Linked DNA regions of Canis lupus familiaris. The protein of the gene in region 1 interacts with the protein of each later gene in a pairwise test. Links are inferred from orthologs where the notes say so. Each region holds a gene or a part of one and is shown on either strand. Other genes may lie near its edges.

Evidence for each region. The genes of interacting proteins can lie anywhere in the genome.
Region 2: the proteins of GRN (region 1) and ARFGAP1 interact in binary tests that used the Homo sapiens proteins (3 or more experiments, as listed by UniProt). The two-hybrid records come from large-scale screens. The link is inferred for Canis lupus familiaris from reciprocal best matches to the Homo sapiens genes GRN and ARFGAP1.

Annotation. Positions count from the first base shown.
Region 1 is NC_049230.1:18,956,277-18,964,073, forward strand, and holds the start of GRN (progranulin), read right to left. Parts: upstream 4,015-7,797; 5' UTR 3,862-4,014; exon of another isoform or gene 3,692-3,861; intron 643-3,691; 5' UTR 636-642; coding exon 498-635; intron 374-497; coding exon 248-373; intron 138-247; coding exon 53-137; intron 1-52. UniProt on the Homo sapiens protein: Secreted protein that acts as a key regulator of lysosomal function and as a growth factor involved in inflammation, wound healing and cell proliferation. Regulates protein trafficking to lysosomes, and also the activity of lysosomal enzymes.
Region 2 is NC_049245.1:47,830,337-47,838,029, reverse strand, and holds the start of ARFGAP1 (ADP-ribosylation factor GTPase-activating protein 1), read right to left. Parts: upstream 4,637-7,693; 5' UTR 4,521-4,636; intron 1,757-4,520; 5' UTR 1,753-1,756; coding exon 1,693-1,752; intron 1,493-1,692; coding exon 1,383-1,492; intron 1,144-1,382; coding exon 972-1,143; intron 569-971; coding exon 468-568; intron 1-467. UniProt on the Homo sapiens protein: GTPase-activating protein (GAP) for the ADP ribosylation factor 1 (ARF1). Involved in membrane trafficking and /or vesicle transport.

The sequences.
Region 1 (7,797 bases):
AGCCTCTGCATGCTGCCCATCTGCCTGCCCTCCACCTCCACCCCTGCCGCACCTGATCTTTGGAAGCAGGACCTCCCATCAGCACTGCAGTGGTAGCCTCGTGGGCAGCAGTGGCGGCCATCGGCACACGACACGGCCTGTGGGACACAGAGACGCCAACATTGGCTAGGCCCTTTTACCTGGGGTGAGTGGAGGGAAAGTCTAAATGCTGACCTGAGCCCCCGTGTTGAACTAATGGTACCCTCACCTCTGGGAACGGGCAGCAGCTGGAGGTCCCCAAGATCGTGAGGAGGCAGGAGTAGCCAGGAGAGCAGTGGGCATCTAGCTGGCAGGGCCTGCCCAGATGCCTGCTCAGCTCCGTGGGCCACTTGCCCTGGAAAGCAAGAGGAGAGGGCAAAATGAAGGACCCAAGCCTGCCCCCTCTCTCTGGCCATGCCAAGATGCCCCTTTGGAAAATGCCAGGCTGCCAGCTCTTGCCTGGGCTGCAGGGCGCTCACCGGAATGGGATTGCAGCAACTGTAGCTGGCTCCTCCTGGGTCCAGGCAGCAGGCCACAGGGCAGAACTGACCATCTGGGCACTGTGTCCCAGCTACCAGCCCGGCCACCAAGGCCACCCAGCTCACCAGGGTCCACATGGTCTGCCTGCAAAACACCAAGAGGCATTTGGCGACTAGCTTCAACAAGCCCATGTGACCCTTGATTCTGGGGCCAGTCACTCCCCCAGGTCCGTGCCAGATACCACCTGAGCCTCTCCAACAATTCCCTGTTGAGGCAGGAAGAAAGATGTGAGGCCCAAGATCCAGCTTCCTATATGTGTCCTGCATGTGCATCATATGTGTAACAGCACCTGGACAGAAGTGCTGACACAAGGATGCATGTCAGGGGCGCCTGGGTGGCTCACTTGGTTAAATGTCTACCTTCAGCTCAGGTCATGATCCCAAGCTCCTGGGATGGAGCCTGGTGTCAAGCTCCCTGCTCAGTGGGGAGCCTGTTTCTCCCTCTCCCTCTGCCTGCCACTCTCACTGCTTGTGCTCTCTCTGTCAAATAAATTAATAAAATATTGTTTTATTAAAAAAAGATAAAAACAACCAAGTATGTGTGTCGATCTGTGTCCCCAAAATGTGGCCAAATGTCTCCATCTGTGGGTGAGTGTGTAAAGATGTAGGCGTATGAGAGCACCAGTCTGGCTTAGTCAACAAGGCATGTGACTCTTGATCTTGACGTTGTAGATTTGAGCCCCATGCTAGGTGCAGAGAATACTTTAAAAAAAAAAAAATCTTAAAAAAAAAGATGTAAGTCTGTGAAAGGAAAATTTGTGGGGTTTGTGGGTCTGATCTGTAGGGACATGGGGCACCTCCAGGGAGTGGGTGAGGCATCAGTGGCCATGGGAGGACTGGGCTGGGGGGCAAAGAGGGAGTCCCCCTTTGAAGAAAAGCTGGGGTTCCACTTCCCCAGCCAGCCCCTCCAGAAGCCTCCCTGTGTGGGGTGGGGGAGGGGTGTCACATGATGACGTGGGAAACCAGGGTGTTGAGAAAGTTATGAAAAGGGAAGTGTGGGGATCCCTGGGTGGCGCAGTGGTTTAGCGCCTGCCTTTGGCCCAGGGAGCGATCCTGGAGACCCGGGATCGAATCCCACGTCAGGCTCCCGGTGCGTGGAGCCTGCTTCTCCCTCTGCCTGTGTCTCTGCCTCTCTCTCTCTCTGTGTAACTATCATAAATTAAAAAAAAAAAAAAGGGAAGTGTGGTAGCCCGTGGAATCTGGGCTGCCTACCCCAGAGGCCAGCCATACCTACCCCCCCAGCTGTCCCCAACCACCCAGGGAAGGGGTGCACAGGCCGGGCCAGCCTTTGAGACACCTGTGCCCTTGGGCTCCCCCAACACCACCAGGCCCTTTAAGACTCCCCAAACATACCACCCCCAAACCCTGCCGACCCCCTACCCGGAAGCTGAAACTCAGCAGTACAGGAAGAAGATCACATGCACTCACACAGCTGCACTAGCAGAAGAAACCAATCATGAGTCTCTGGGGAGTAACCTCTGACTTCCTAAATGAGTATTCCAAGCTCAGCCAGCCCTACTAGTTCAATGGGATGGGCCCAGAAGATGTTACCCTGCCTGGAGGGGCAAGACTAGTAATGTCTATTGAGCTTCAGGATGCCTGGTTGGCTCAGAAGTTGAGTGTCTGCTTTTGTCTCAGGGTGTGATCCTAGGGTCTGGGGATCGAGTCCCGCATCAGGCTCCCTGCAAGGAGCCTGCTTCTCCCTCTGCCTGTGTTTCTGCCTCTCTCTGTGTCTCATAAATAAATAAATAAATAACATCTTAAAAAAAAAAAAGTTTGTTGAGCCTTTCCCGGGCCAGTTACAATACTCTATCCTATTTTCTTTCTTTTTTGCAACAGCCATCCAAAGTACTAATTACCTTTACTTTGAGGCTCAGAGAAGTTCGGTAACATGCCCTTGTCATATATCCAGTCATGGAGATGACAGGCTTTGAGAGCTACAAAGCATACCAGACTTGGGTTCATGTCACCAGGTGGCACCATGCACAGTGCCCAGGAATGGACCCCTGAACCCCAGGAGAGTAGAGGCCTGGGGTCCAAGCAGAGGAGGGAGACAGAAGCATTTTCTGAGCAGGTGGACAAGGCAGGACAGAAATGAGAAGCACAGGGGTGCTGGATACTGCACTGGGGTGCTAGTCCTAGAATTGCCACCACTGATGGTGAGAGCCTCAAAAGTTGCTGTCTTGGGGCCTCAGTTCCCCCATGAGTCTGTGTGGACACTGCACACTGGGTGTGGCGACGACTTACACCCAGCCAGTCACTTGCATCCTTCTCTCCCTCACCTGGCTCTCTTCGCGGCCCCAGTCCCAGCTCAGAGACCGTTTCCAGGGGACACCGCCTGGCTGGTCCTATACCTTGGCCCCTTTCACCCTCTCCTCTACACTCACAGCTCCAGGCAAGACTCGTCCCGCCTACTTCTTGGGAGTCACACCTCAACCTTCCGTAGGCTGTCCCTTGTCCTGGCTTAGGCCGGAAGAGGTGCCTGTCTGCACAAATCTGGGACCACGGGGCAGTCTTTGGCATCCTAAAGTTAGGGAGTACAGCGTGTGCTTCTAGTGGATACCAATGCACAGACGCGCGCACACACTCACAACCAAGGATGACCTCTCTCCCGCCACCCCCCACTCCCAAGGTAGAGAGGGACAGGAGCCTCTCCAAGCCCCCAGCTCTGCCATCTTCCACTAGGTGGCAGCCCCCAACTCCCAGCGTCAGGAGAGAGATTCCCAAAAGGTGAGCCAACCCAACTGCGAGTGAGCAGGAAAAGTGGCCGGGAGAGGCGGAAGTTGGCTGGTCCCACCCCCCACGAGAGGAAGTACGGGAGCGGCAGACCCAACCCCCGCGTTCGGTCACCACCCCCCCGGCCCTGCTACCCTGGAGGGGGCAGGGCCACCAGCCCACTCGCAGCCCTCTGAGCTCCAGGACCAGGGCGCGCGCCTCTCTCGCTCCCAGTGCCCCGGGGACCACCCAGCACCACCAGCAGCAGCACCAGCAGCACCAGCAGCAGCACCCGGACCGGCCCGGAGCCGGCTCAAGAATGGGGTGGTCCCTGCTCTGGGGAAGGGGCTGCAGCTTCCGGAGCCGCTGGAGAGGGAGAGAGCCCCCTTCTCGTGGGGGTCACTGCAATCACTGCTTACCCCCGGCCCCCCGTAAAACTGCCTCCTGTGCATCGGAAAGCCCCAAAGGAGCTTCTCTGAGCCAGTCTTCTCTTGCCTCCCGGCTGAAACTCCAGACGAGCCTCAAGCCCTCACGTCCGCCCGGCCGAACTGCCGAGGAAGCGAGAGGTCTGCGCGGCCACCCTCCTTACCTGTGACCGGCCCCGCGCTCGCTGCGAAGCCGGGCCGGGCAGCTCGGGACTAGGGCCTGCGGCGCGACGGCCCGCCCACCTCCGTTCCCATTGGCCAGGCGTCCGGGCTGTCGCGCTCCTACTGGCTGCTGCTCGACGGTAGAGGCGGGGCCAGCCTGCAAAGCTCTGCTTTTTTTTCTTACTCAATTCGCGGTCGTCCCTCCCTTCTTCTCGCTTCCCACCCTCCCCCCTCCACTGTTTTATGGGATCATGTGATTGGAGAATCATGTGACGTCCTGGCCGGGCTCGGCCGGGCTGCGGGCGCCTGGCGGAGTCTTCCCGAGGTGGTGTGGCCCCGGAGTGCGTTGGCCGGCGAAGGGAGCTGCCCCTTAGGGGGTGCACTCCAGGGCGTTTACAGGATGTCTGCTTCTGGGTTAGGGACACCTGTGCATCCTGTTTCTTTTGTATTCAACGAACTCAGAATAAATGCTGGGCAGCCAGGCCCCGAAGGGAGGGTTGTGAGGGCAAGGATAGACAGCTCTCAGGCCCTTTCCTCAGGGTGCTCCTGGCCGGGTGTGAGTGGGTAGAGAGATGAGACAGGCTCACGTTCAATCTAATTTAAGGTGCAAGATCGTGTGCCAGGTATTAATGGATGTGTGTAGGGCAGAGGTGGAAGATTGGCTCTTGGCAGGGAGGAAAAGATTTAATTCTACCTTAAGGGCACTTTAAAAATTATTTATTTATTTATCTGAGAGAACGAGCATGAGCGGAGGGAGAGGGAGAAGCAGACTCCCTGCTGAGCAGGGAGCTGGACTGGGGCTTGATCCTAGACCCTAGGATCATGACCTGAGCCAACGGCAGATACTCAACCAAGTGAACCACCCAGGCGCCCCTTTAAGGACACCTTTTGGAGCTGAACCTGGGAGAATGTTAACTGGCAGGTGGACAGGGGTTGGCAAAGCTCCTGAGCAGGGGGTGTTAGGAAGAGCATTAGGAAACCAGATGGGAAGAGCAGCGTTGGGCAGGGATTAAATGCCAAGTACAACGTAGTGGGCTTGAGGAGCTGTTGGGTGCCTGACACGAGGCTTGGGCTGGGGGTGGGAGCATAGTGGAAGTGGCTTCCTCGTTAGAGTCAGCCTTGCCTTCCAGGAATTGAAATAACCGGTGAGGAGAGAAAGGTACTACACAGAACAGATTGGCCAGCAACAAGAGCCAGGCTGCTCCGTGCCAAAAGGCCATTTTGGCTCAGGCCAAAAATGGTTGATAGATGCACCAGGAAAGAGGAGAGGCCCAGAGAAAGCCCAGTGCCAGGCTAGGGGGACAGGCAGTGTTTGGTGGTACAGTGTGGATGGAGAGCACCACAGGCTCAACAAAGAGCTTGGGCAGAGGGGTGGCTGGGGGAGATGACAAACACCCCAATTCAGGGGTGGTGGCATTCTGTGTGTGGGAGTAGCAGGGTTGGGGAATTGTGTGTGGCAGTGGTGCTCAGCCTGGGGCTAGAGAGGGTCTGGAGAGTGTGTGAGGCTCCTGCTGAGAATCAGGACAACCCTGTACGCTAGTGACATTTGTACACAGTTTACCTCCTGAGTATCCTGAGGCAAGGGGAGGTCCCATTTATGCTTCCATTAATAAAGTATGGGCACACACATTTTTCATGAAATGTTAGGATAATCTATAAATGAACATATTAACCGCAACTGCACAGAACCATAAAAAATAAACACAGGGAAAAAAACTAGAGTGATTGATACAAGTATCCCTGAAAAGTATCCTGAAAGGAGTGATTTGCCCATCAGGGATATTTGGCAGTGTGCGGAGATATTCTGGGTTGTCACAACTAGGGCGAGGTCCTCTGGGCATCTAGCAAGCAGAGGCCAGGGATGCTGCTAAACATCCCACAATGCAAAGGACACTCCCACAACAAAGATTATTCTTCCCAAAATGAGTAGTACTGAGGTTAAGAAACTCTCACTAAACTCTCTCAATAGAATCATAAACTGTCTCTGTTCTCTCTGTCTCTGTGAGAGAACTCAAAGTTTCCTTCATATAGCGTCTTTCTCTTATTTCATACATGTATGTGCATACACACACACACACACACACACTCAACATAGGGCTCAAACTCATGACCCTGAGATCAAGAGTTGTATGCTCTACTGACTGAGGCAGCCAGGTGCCCCATATAGTTCAGATATTTTTAATGAATGTTATCTGATTTCCAAGCAACCATAGATTATAGAAAGATCAGAGGAAAAGCAATCACTTTGAGTTTAGCAAGGATTAAAAGCATTTAACAGGAATAAAATGCAAAAGGCAGACTGATGGACTTAGAAGCTCAACATCCTGGAGACATTGGATGTAGGGGCAAACAGTCCTGGATGAGCTGATGGGCCTTGTAGGCTTCACTCTCAAAGGACAAGATAATTAATAGTCAAGGTGTGAGCCTAAGCTTTAGGAAAATATGAATCAGATGCAATTACTCTGATTGCTATGGCAAAGAAATGTGAAACATATTTATTAAACAAAAGGTATTTACCTGTCAAATGGGTGCAGTGAAATTCCACTTTAGTGGAAAGGGTACAGTTCTTCTGAGGACTGCAGAACATCTCTCGCATTCCTCAAGAAACACTCTAGTGTCCTTAAACCCTCTAATTTAGGAATCTCTCTCCCTCTGCTTTTTGCTTTTAAGAAGGGTGCATCCTTTTTTTTTTTTTTTTGAATAGAGAGGACTGAAAATAAGCAGACTTCAGAGTCACAAAGAAATATGACATCAAAGGGTCCATGCCCATTTTCCCCGTCCCTGTGCCCACCCAACTCCCTTTGGCCAGGCCTTGTGATTTTTAATTTTGATAAAATTAATTGACTGTAACTGTGAGGGTTTATTTCTGGACTCTCAATTCTTTTCCATTGATGTATATGTCCTCATGCCAGTACTACATTGTCTTGATTACTATAGTTTTTTTAAGGATTTTATTTATTCATTCATGAGACAGAGAGAGAGAGAGAGAGAGGTGGAGACACAAGCAAAGTGAGAAGCAGGCTCCATTCAGGGAGCCTGATGTGGGACTCGATCCTGGGACCCCAGGATCACGCCCTGGGCTAAAGGCAGGCACTAAACTGCTGAGCCACCGAGGGATCCCCTACTACAGTTTTTTTTTTTAAAGATTTATTCATGAGAGACAGACAGAGAGGGGAAGAGATATAAGCAGAGGGAGAAGCAGGCTCCCTGAATGGAGTCGATGCAGGACTGGATCCCAGGACCCCGGGATCATGACCTGAGCCGAAGGCAGATGCTCAACCACTGAGCCACCCAGGCATCCCTTGGTTACTATAATATTGTAGCAAGTTTTGAAACTGAAAGAGTGGATCCTCCAACTTCTTTTTTGAAATTGTTTTGGCTATGCTGGGTCCTTCAAATTTCTATATGAATTTTAGGATCAATTTCTGCAAAGATGACAGCTGAAATTTTGGTAGGGAATGCACTAAATCTACAGGCTAATTTGGGGTGTATTGCCAGAATAACAATATTAAGTTTTCCTATTCATGAACATGGGATATCTTTACATTTATTTATCAGTTTGACAGTTGCCAAGTATTCCACACTATAGATGTTACATAGTTTACTTAACCGGTCTCATTAAATAGACTTTTGTGTGTTTCCATTTTTTTTGCAGTTACAAATAATTCTACAATAAGTATGTGTGAATATGTCTCTGAGTGCACATGTGGGGGTTAAATCCCTAAAAGCAATATTGCTGAATAAAGGGTATGCATATTTGAAATGTGAATGCCAAGTTGTTTTAAAGTTTTTCCAATTTACACTCCCAGTTGCCGTATTTGGGGGAACTTATTTCCCATACAGTCATGAACATTAAATATGCCAGTTTATTTATTTTTTAATTTATTTTATTTATTTATTTATTTTTTAATTTATTTATGATAGTTACAGAGAGAGAG
Region 2 (7,693 bases), on another chromosome or scaffold:
GCCCATGGTGCAAACACGGAGCCTTCCCTGACCGGTCACTGCAGATCACCAGCCTCTGACACTTGAGAGGACGCAGGACGTCTGCCGTGGGGATCGACCTGTCCACACCACACCTGCGCTCCGGGGGCTGGGTAGTGCTCGGGAGGACAAAGGATGGAACCACCACCCAGCAGGGACGTTTCCTACAGAAACTTGCGGTCATGGGTTCGAATCTGAAAGCACTGTCCCAACGGGCTATGGAGAAGTGCGGAGCTGCCCCCTTGGCCCTAGACACAGCTTACCGGGGCGCTTTTACTGAAAACCCCTATCGCTAAGACAACCTATGAAGCTGTTTTCCCACTGACTCCTGGGAGTAGCTCACAACGGGAGCCGTTCCCACAACAGCACAGGGGCCCCAAGCTACGGCTAAGATCGGGGCTGGGCCCAGAACAGCCGGGACCCAGACGAGAGGCCAGAGGAGTAGCTACCGGTGAGCAGCGGACAGCAGTGTCTTGGGCTGGGGTGGGGTCCAGTTCTGGGCAGGCGAGGACTCCAGACACCATTCTCTGCCCTCAGCCAGGGTGGCTACCTGCCAGGGGACACAGGGATTCGAAAGCCGGGACCGTCAGGACTGATCGGCGAGGTCACCCACTCTAGCCCATCCTGCTCGCTGTCCTTCCAGGCTCAGCGGGCACGGGCCAGGGTCTCTGTCACATGTCAACACGGGGACGGGGTCTCGGTACGGAGGGGCCAGCACACGATGCTCCCCCGGAGGGCAGGGAGAAAGGCCCATCCTCTCCCCGGCTAACTACACACCGCCTGCCTCCCCCGGGGTGGGACAAGACAGCCCACACGTCCTGTCCGTGCCCAGCAGTCCCAGACTGTGCGCGGCCCCCGCAGGCGTGGCAGAGCCCACAGGAGGACGCCAGCTCCCAGAGCCACCCAAACCGCCAATGGGCGGAGCCTCAGCACCACTGGCTGGCGGGTCCTACCTTGTCCCTGAAGAGGGCCGCGGCCTTGCTGTTGTACTTGTCCTGCAGGGACCAGCAGGGGTCATAGTCCTCCTGAGACTCCAGGAACTCCCGGAATTTCGCATTCCCTCCAGCTTTCATCTTCTCAAGCTCCACGTCCTTCCACTTGTCCATGGTCACCGAGCGCACGAAGCTAGAAACCAGAGCACCAACCTACTTATCAGCACTGGGTGTCCAGGAGCCCCCACCCCAGCCAGGTCGTGAACCCGACGCATGAGCTTCCCGTGACAGAAGCACCTGGCCGTGACACCTCTGAGGGCAGAGCTGGCAAGGCAGCACGTGCTACCCCGTCACCCTGCAGCCCACAGCAGGCCCTGACCACGGCTCAGGATCCCTGCGGAGCCCAAAAGGCACGAGGGGCAGGGCACTGACCTGAGGTGCACGCCAAGCCCGCGGTGCTTCCCCGAGCACTCCAGGCAGATCCAGATGCCGTAGGTCACACTCACCCACTGAGGGTTGAATGCACCACACTCAAAACACACCTGCAGGAAGAGCCACATGCAACTCACCCAGGCATTTGGGGCAGGGCCCAGAGCCCCAGAGACCCGACAGGTGGCCCCAAGAAGGAGCAGAGGAGAGGCTGGCCCAAGCCTAACAGCAGCAGGGAGAGCTCTGAGGCTACAAGCAACTTCCGGGAGGTTTGCTAAACCTCAAAGCATCAAAGCAAAGCAGAGACGCTTACGTTGTTTTCATCTTGCACCCTGACTTCTTTCAGGACTTTCCTGGTTCTTGGGCTGGCCATGATGCTGCAGAGAAGAAAAACAAAATTTTGGAACTTACAAGTAGGTTACTTTACAAGAAAACCCATTGGTGCAAAAACACGACAACACATAGATAGCTTCAGAGAAATCCCACTAAGCTGCTGGAAGCTATGAGGTAGCGTCACTGCTTACTACAGGCAGCATCAGGGAACTACTCATGGGACGAATCTGTCCTCTACACACTGGAGAAAAACCCAGAGCAGTCTGGATGTTTCCAGGCCAAACACAATGCAATTACCAAGAATAACGTAATTATCGGTGTCCACTTTGCCTAACCGACACGAACCGCCAACACTACAGATTTACAAAATGTCCCTCCCACCTTGTGATGCAGCCCACAGCAAGGGCCTGACCTCTACATAACGTACAGACTGGCTGCTAAACCGGGCGCCCACCTGAAGGGCCAACGTATCAGACTCGGGCCAGCAACCTTCGAGGACAGGGAACCGCAGGTTCTCTGCGCGCGGCACCTTCCTTCCCCTCCCCAGCCTGTGGCGTGGGGCCGAAGTGCTCCCCGTGACCAGGAGGTGTGCAGAGGTTGGCCTGCGGGTCTACAGGTGGGTCCTCCATGGGGCCCCCGTGGAGGGTGGAAGTGACCGACAGCATGACCACAGCAGGGCACACCTGCCACCATGCCTCACAAGGACACGCTGGGGCACAAGAGCCACGTAACTCAGGCTGAAGACAAAAACCGTTTCTCTTTATAAATCTCCCAGCTCCGGCAAAACCCAAGTTCAAGCAACAGCGCACTGGACTCATGACCAGGAAGACCGACGTAGATTCAAGCTGGAGAACGCGCACGGGAGCCCGCAGGGTGCTGGATGCAGAGCGACCCCACGGTCCTGCACGCACCACCTGGCCCTGGGCCTCAGGCCACCTCTCCCACCACCAACACACAACTGTGCGGGGGCCTCTCTGAAGCTCGCCCTTCTCTCACTTGTGAATGGCGCCTGTGAGCTGTTGCCCTAATTCACGGCAGCACGCACCCGCCGGGGACCCCGCCAGCACCCTGGAAGTGGCACGGATCCGACACCCACACGGCTGCTGGACATTTCAGGCAGCCGCTCTGCTGCCCTGCTGCACAGCCAGCCTCCCCGCCGACGGCGGAGCTGGAGCTTTCCACGGACACGCAGCCTCAACAAGCCAGGAGATCCTGCGCCGTCCCTCACCCGTCATCTCAGTCCGCGGGAACAAGTCACGGGTGGCAGCCCTGACTCTGCACAGCCACACTTTCTAAACCTAGACGGTTGGGACTCCCGTGGTTGTCAGCGCCCACCTAGAAGCCAGCTGAAGACGACAGACGCGGTTATCTTCCCATAACTGACAAACGAGACCCGAGGTGCAGCTCCGACTCCTCTGCACTCCGCAGTTTTCCGTGCTACGCAGACCGCCTACCGACGCCGAGGGCACAATCCCGAGTACGGGCGCCTGGCCGGACTCCTTTAAGTGAACGACTTTTGTCGCCGCCGCACAGGAGCTGCACGGGGGGCGTCCCCAGGTACACCCACACTTGGGGCCATCCTGCCGGATCTGAACTCACAAAGCCCTCTGCACACGTCCGTCTCATGGTGACCACCGGAGAGCCCTCTGCAGGCTGCTGCACGGGGCTGACATGCGAACCTGCCCCATCGGGTCTCCATGCCCAGCCCCTGGTCCGTCCAGAGAACTGTGCCTTTCCTCAGAGGTTCACATCCTGGTCGAAAGGGGCACCAAGCAAAGGAGAGCCAGAACTGGGTTGAATGTGCCCTGAATTTCTAATTGTGTAAAATAAAATCAGGCAGAGCCAAAGTCTGCAGAACTAGCGGCAGGTGACCTGTGAACAGGAAATGACCTGGATTGAAAATGAACTCTCCTCGGTGACCAGTTTTGATGGGCGTGACCTTCAACTCCCTGAAACGCTAACTTGGATCCGTGAAATGCGTCCTAATTTTCAAAACCGCAAACACGGTTTATCTCAAGAAACCATCCAAGGATTCTTTAGTGCCTGAAACCAAGGTGGTAAAAGGTGGCTCCCTGCAAGTGGCCGTAACTTCAGGGAACGCTGACCAAGTGAGGTCACTTCCTCGGGTCCGCCCTGTAAGAGCTGCAGAACCCGGTCCTGGGGTTGGGACTCTGTCCGCATCCGAGATTCAAAGGGATGACCGGGGGGCACCGCTGGGTCCCCGGGATGACTGGCGGGCTGGGTCCCAGGATGACTTGGGGGCACCGCTGGGTCCCCAGGGATGTCTGGCGGGCTGGGTCCCAGGATGACCGTGGGGGGAGGGGGCACTGCTGGGTCCCAGGATGACGGGGGGGGGCGGGGGCACCGCCGGGTCCCGCGATCATCGGGGGCACCGCTCCGTCCCCGGGATGACCCGCGGGCTGGGTCCCCGGGATGACCGGGGGCACCGCTGGGTCCCGGGGCTCCTCCCAGAGACCGGCCGAAGCACTCAGCACAGCCGCTGTCGGAGCAGCGAGCACCAGGCGGAGGCCCCGCGGCCCGGGCACGGCGCGCAGGAGCGTGGGGCCGGCCCTCCGCGGGCGCCGCAGCCTCCGCAGCCTCCGGCGGGGCGCGCACCCCACGGGGCCCGGGGAGGACCGTCCACGCGCGGGGCGAGCAGCGCGGGTCCCCGGGCCGCCTCCCCGCACCCGCCGGGCGGAGGAGCCTGGGCTCCGGCCCCGGGGCCGTCCGTGCGGGAGCGGGGCCGGGCGGGCTGCGGGGGCGCTCCCGAGGCGGGGCCCGGGCGGGGGCGAAGGGCCGCGCGCCTACCGGGGGGTCCGGGCTCGATCCCGCGCGCCGGGGTCCGCCGGGGTCCGCCGGGGTCCGCCGGGTCCGTCGGGTCCGCGGTCGGGCGCGCCGCAGGCTGCTCCGGGGACGCGCGCCCGCCGCCCGCCCCGCCGCCACCCGCTTCCGGCTACGTTGCGCCTCGCGGGGCATCACGGGAAGCCGGGGAGGGCGGGGCGGGGCGGGACTTCCGCCTCCGTCCCCGAGCGGCAGCGCGGCCCCGCCCCCGTCGCCATGGGAACGCGGGGCGGCGTCGCGGACCGCGGGGCTGGAGCGGGGCGGGGGCCGGGCTCAGGGTCCCGCCGGGGCCGCGGGAGGCCCGCCCACAGCGGCGGACACGGAAGCGCAGCGGGCGGTGCAGCGGGAGCAGGACGGCCGCAGGCGGGGGGGACCCGCCTGGGAGGGACCGAGCCCCGGGCCGTGCCCGGACCCGCCGAGACCCCCGCCCTTGGGGCCGCCGTGGGGGCGGGACCGGGGTCGCGAGGCCCAGAGCGGCGGAGCCTGTTAGAAGAGCTGGTCCCGGGACGAGGGGACCCGCAAATGATTTTCGGTTTGCTTTGCACTCGGTGCTTTTTTGTGGATTTTGGAAGGATCACGTGTAACGTTTTTATTAAGGTGTAAGCACAGTCTGTGAGATGTCCAGGGCCATGACCTGACGGATGCACCCCCGGGCGGCCACCGCCATCGGGTCACCATTAGGGACCAATGGGTCGCAGCAGCCACCGTAGGCGCTGGGTCCTCACCTCTTAGCTCGCCAGTGTAGGCATCTGTAAATAAACGCAGTGTGTCCTCCCAGTGGCTCACTCCGCTGGCTTAACCAAGACCCCCTGGCCGCGGGGTCGTCCCAGGCCTGGCACAGAAGGGCCACCTACCGGGTCGTCCACTCAGCCGGCGTTTGGGGACTCATCCGTGTTGTAGCAGCCGCCACTGCTCCTTTGCGTCGCTGAACAGTATTCCACTGAGTGCAGCCCCCTCGTTTGTCATTCACCTGCTGGACACTGGAGTCAGTTTTAAGTTTTCCATATTACGAATAAAGATGCTTTCAAATTCACCTACCAGCTTTTTTGAGGGCATATTTTCAATTTTTCTCGCGTAGTCCCCTAGAAGGAAAATTGCTGGGAGATGGGTGGGTGTCCTTTGAACTTTCCACAAAGTTGCCAGTCTTCTGGGTGTGTGTGTGTGCGTGTGTGTGTACCATTTATTTTTCCACCCACAGTAAGACGGTTGCTCCACTGCAGCCTCTGTGGGCCCACGGTGGGGTCGCAGCATCTCCCTTGGTTGTTGGCTGACAGCTGCCCCGGTGCTCATCCTCCCAGCACTCCCCACCTGCCTGTGCTGGCTTGAGCACCAGCACCCTCCTGCCGCCAGAGGAAACCCTCAGGAAGGAGCCAGAAGCACTCACGGGAATGACGGGAATGACGGGCACACCAGTGTCTACACAGTGGCAATACGAGACTAGATTTCAGCACAAGAGCCTGGGGTCAGCAGTGTTGCCTCCCCAGGTTCAGACAGTGAGAGCCTTGTGCTGCATTTACAGTGGCCTCCTGGAGGAGGTGGGCTCTGAAGGCTGAGCGGATGCTGGCAGAGAGGAGGGGAGGGGAGGGGAGGGGAGCGGAGGCTGTCCTGGCAACGGCACAACTGGGACCAGCACTGGGCAGCAGCCAGAGCAGACAACCAGTGGAGGCTGAATGTTCATTTTCCTGATCACAAAGCATGAAAGTCGATCACGATCACCCACTGCCCTAGGTTCCGGGAGGTCTGGGGCGAGGTTCATCCCCAGAGCAAGGGACACGTCCCGGAGCCAAGACCAGAGGGGGGGCCTTCCAAGGATAGGGCAACACGGCAGCTCCTTCCTCCACCTCAAGGCTCTTGCAGTGTCCGGACGACAGGAGAAAGCGTTCGCTGAGCAGAGCAGAATCTGGGATGGTGAAGCTGTGAGTGCTGCAGAACGCGTAGCTACAAATTGGAAACATTCTATTACTCCATCTTTAAAATAAATTTTTTTTATTTATTCATGAGACAGGCAGAGGGAGAAGCAGGCTCCCTCTGGGGAGCCGGATGCAGGACTAGATCCCGGGACCCTGGGCTGAAGGCCGACAGACGCACACCCGCTGGGCCCCCAGGCGGCCCTTTATTACTCCACCTAAACTATTCAGACAATTTGCTTTTCTTTTAGAACCGCCGCCGGCAGTCCATTAATTTTCAGTTACAGTAATAGGATCCTGTCTGTGGTTTCCTCGGGGCAGGGAAGGCCTGGGTGTCATAGGACGACGGGAACTCCTGGGAGCGAGCTGCAGGCCCGTGGGCGCCAGCCCGGCGCACAGGGTGAGCAGGGGCAGGAGTGCAGGTGAAGCGCAGCGGGAGCCGCGTCATCCCGCTACTTCGCCCCAGCCTCCGTTTCCCCAGTGCTGAAGAGAAGTCTGCAGTTAGTTCCCTTTCAGGCCAGGAGCCCACACTTCCCGCCACTCTGCGGACGTCAGGTCCTGGGCTCGAAAGGCAGAGCCTGTTAAGCTGCACAACCACCGCGCATGCTCTGGTATGAACCCATTGCTCAGATTTTCCCGCGGTCCAAAGGGCAGTTTAGAGGGCCAAGGACCCAGCCTCTGTTACAGCCCCTCAGGGGAGAAGCCGGCGCGTGGAGCTGGGCAGCCACGCAGGCAAGCGGGCATGTGTTCGGGTCAGGACGCCCAGCACGAGTCTCAGCGGCCTTGTCTGGGCCCCAGGGCGGGGTCAGCTGGGTCCAGGGGGTCCGGCCAGCTGCCGGCAGCGGTGGCAGAGGCTGAGGAAACAGCTGGAGCTCCACCCGGCTAGTGAGGGCCGTGCGTGTGCACATGTGTAAGTGCACAGGTCTGTGAGCGTGTGTGGGTTTGCACATTTTTGCATCGTGCACTTATGTGCCTGTGATGTGTGTATTGCTGTGTGTGCTTGTGCGTGTAAGGCATGTGCCTTCAAGTGTGTGAGGTGCGTGTGCACACAGATGTGTACGCTTGTGCATATGTGTGCTTTTGGTGTCCATGTGTGCATGTGAGTGTGCACATGTGTGCACGGGTATCGCGTGTATGGGTCTGTGCCTGAAGGCTCCCTGGGCTCAGGCTCATCCGACTTAGTGTCGCGTGTGCAAAGCGGCAGCAGGTGCGGGTCTGGGGTGTCCCCGGGTA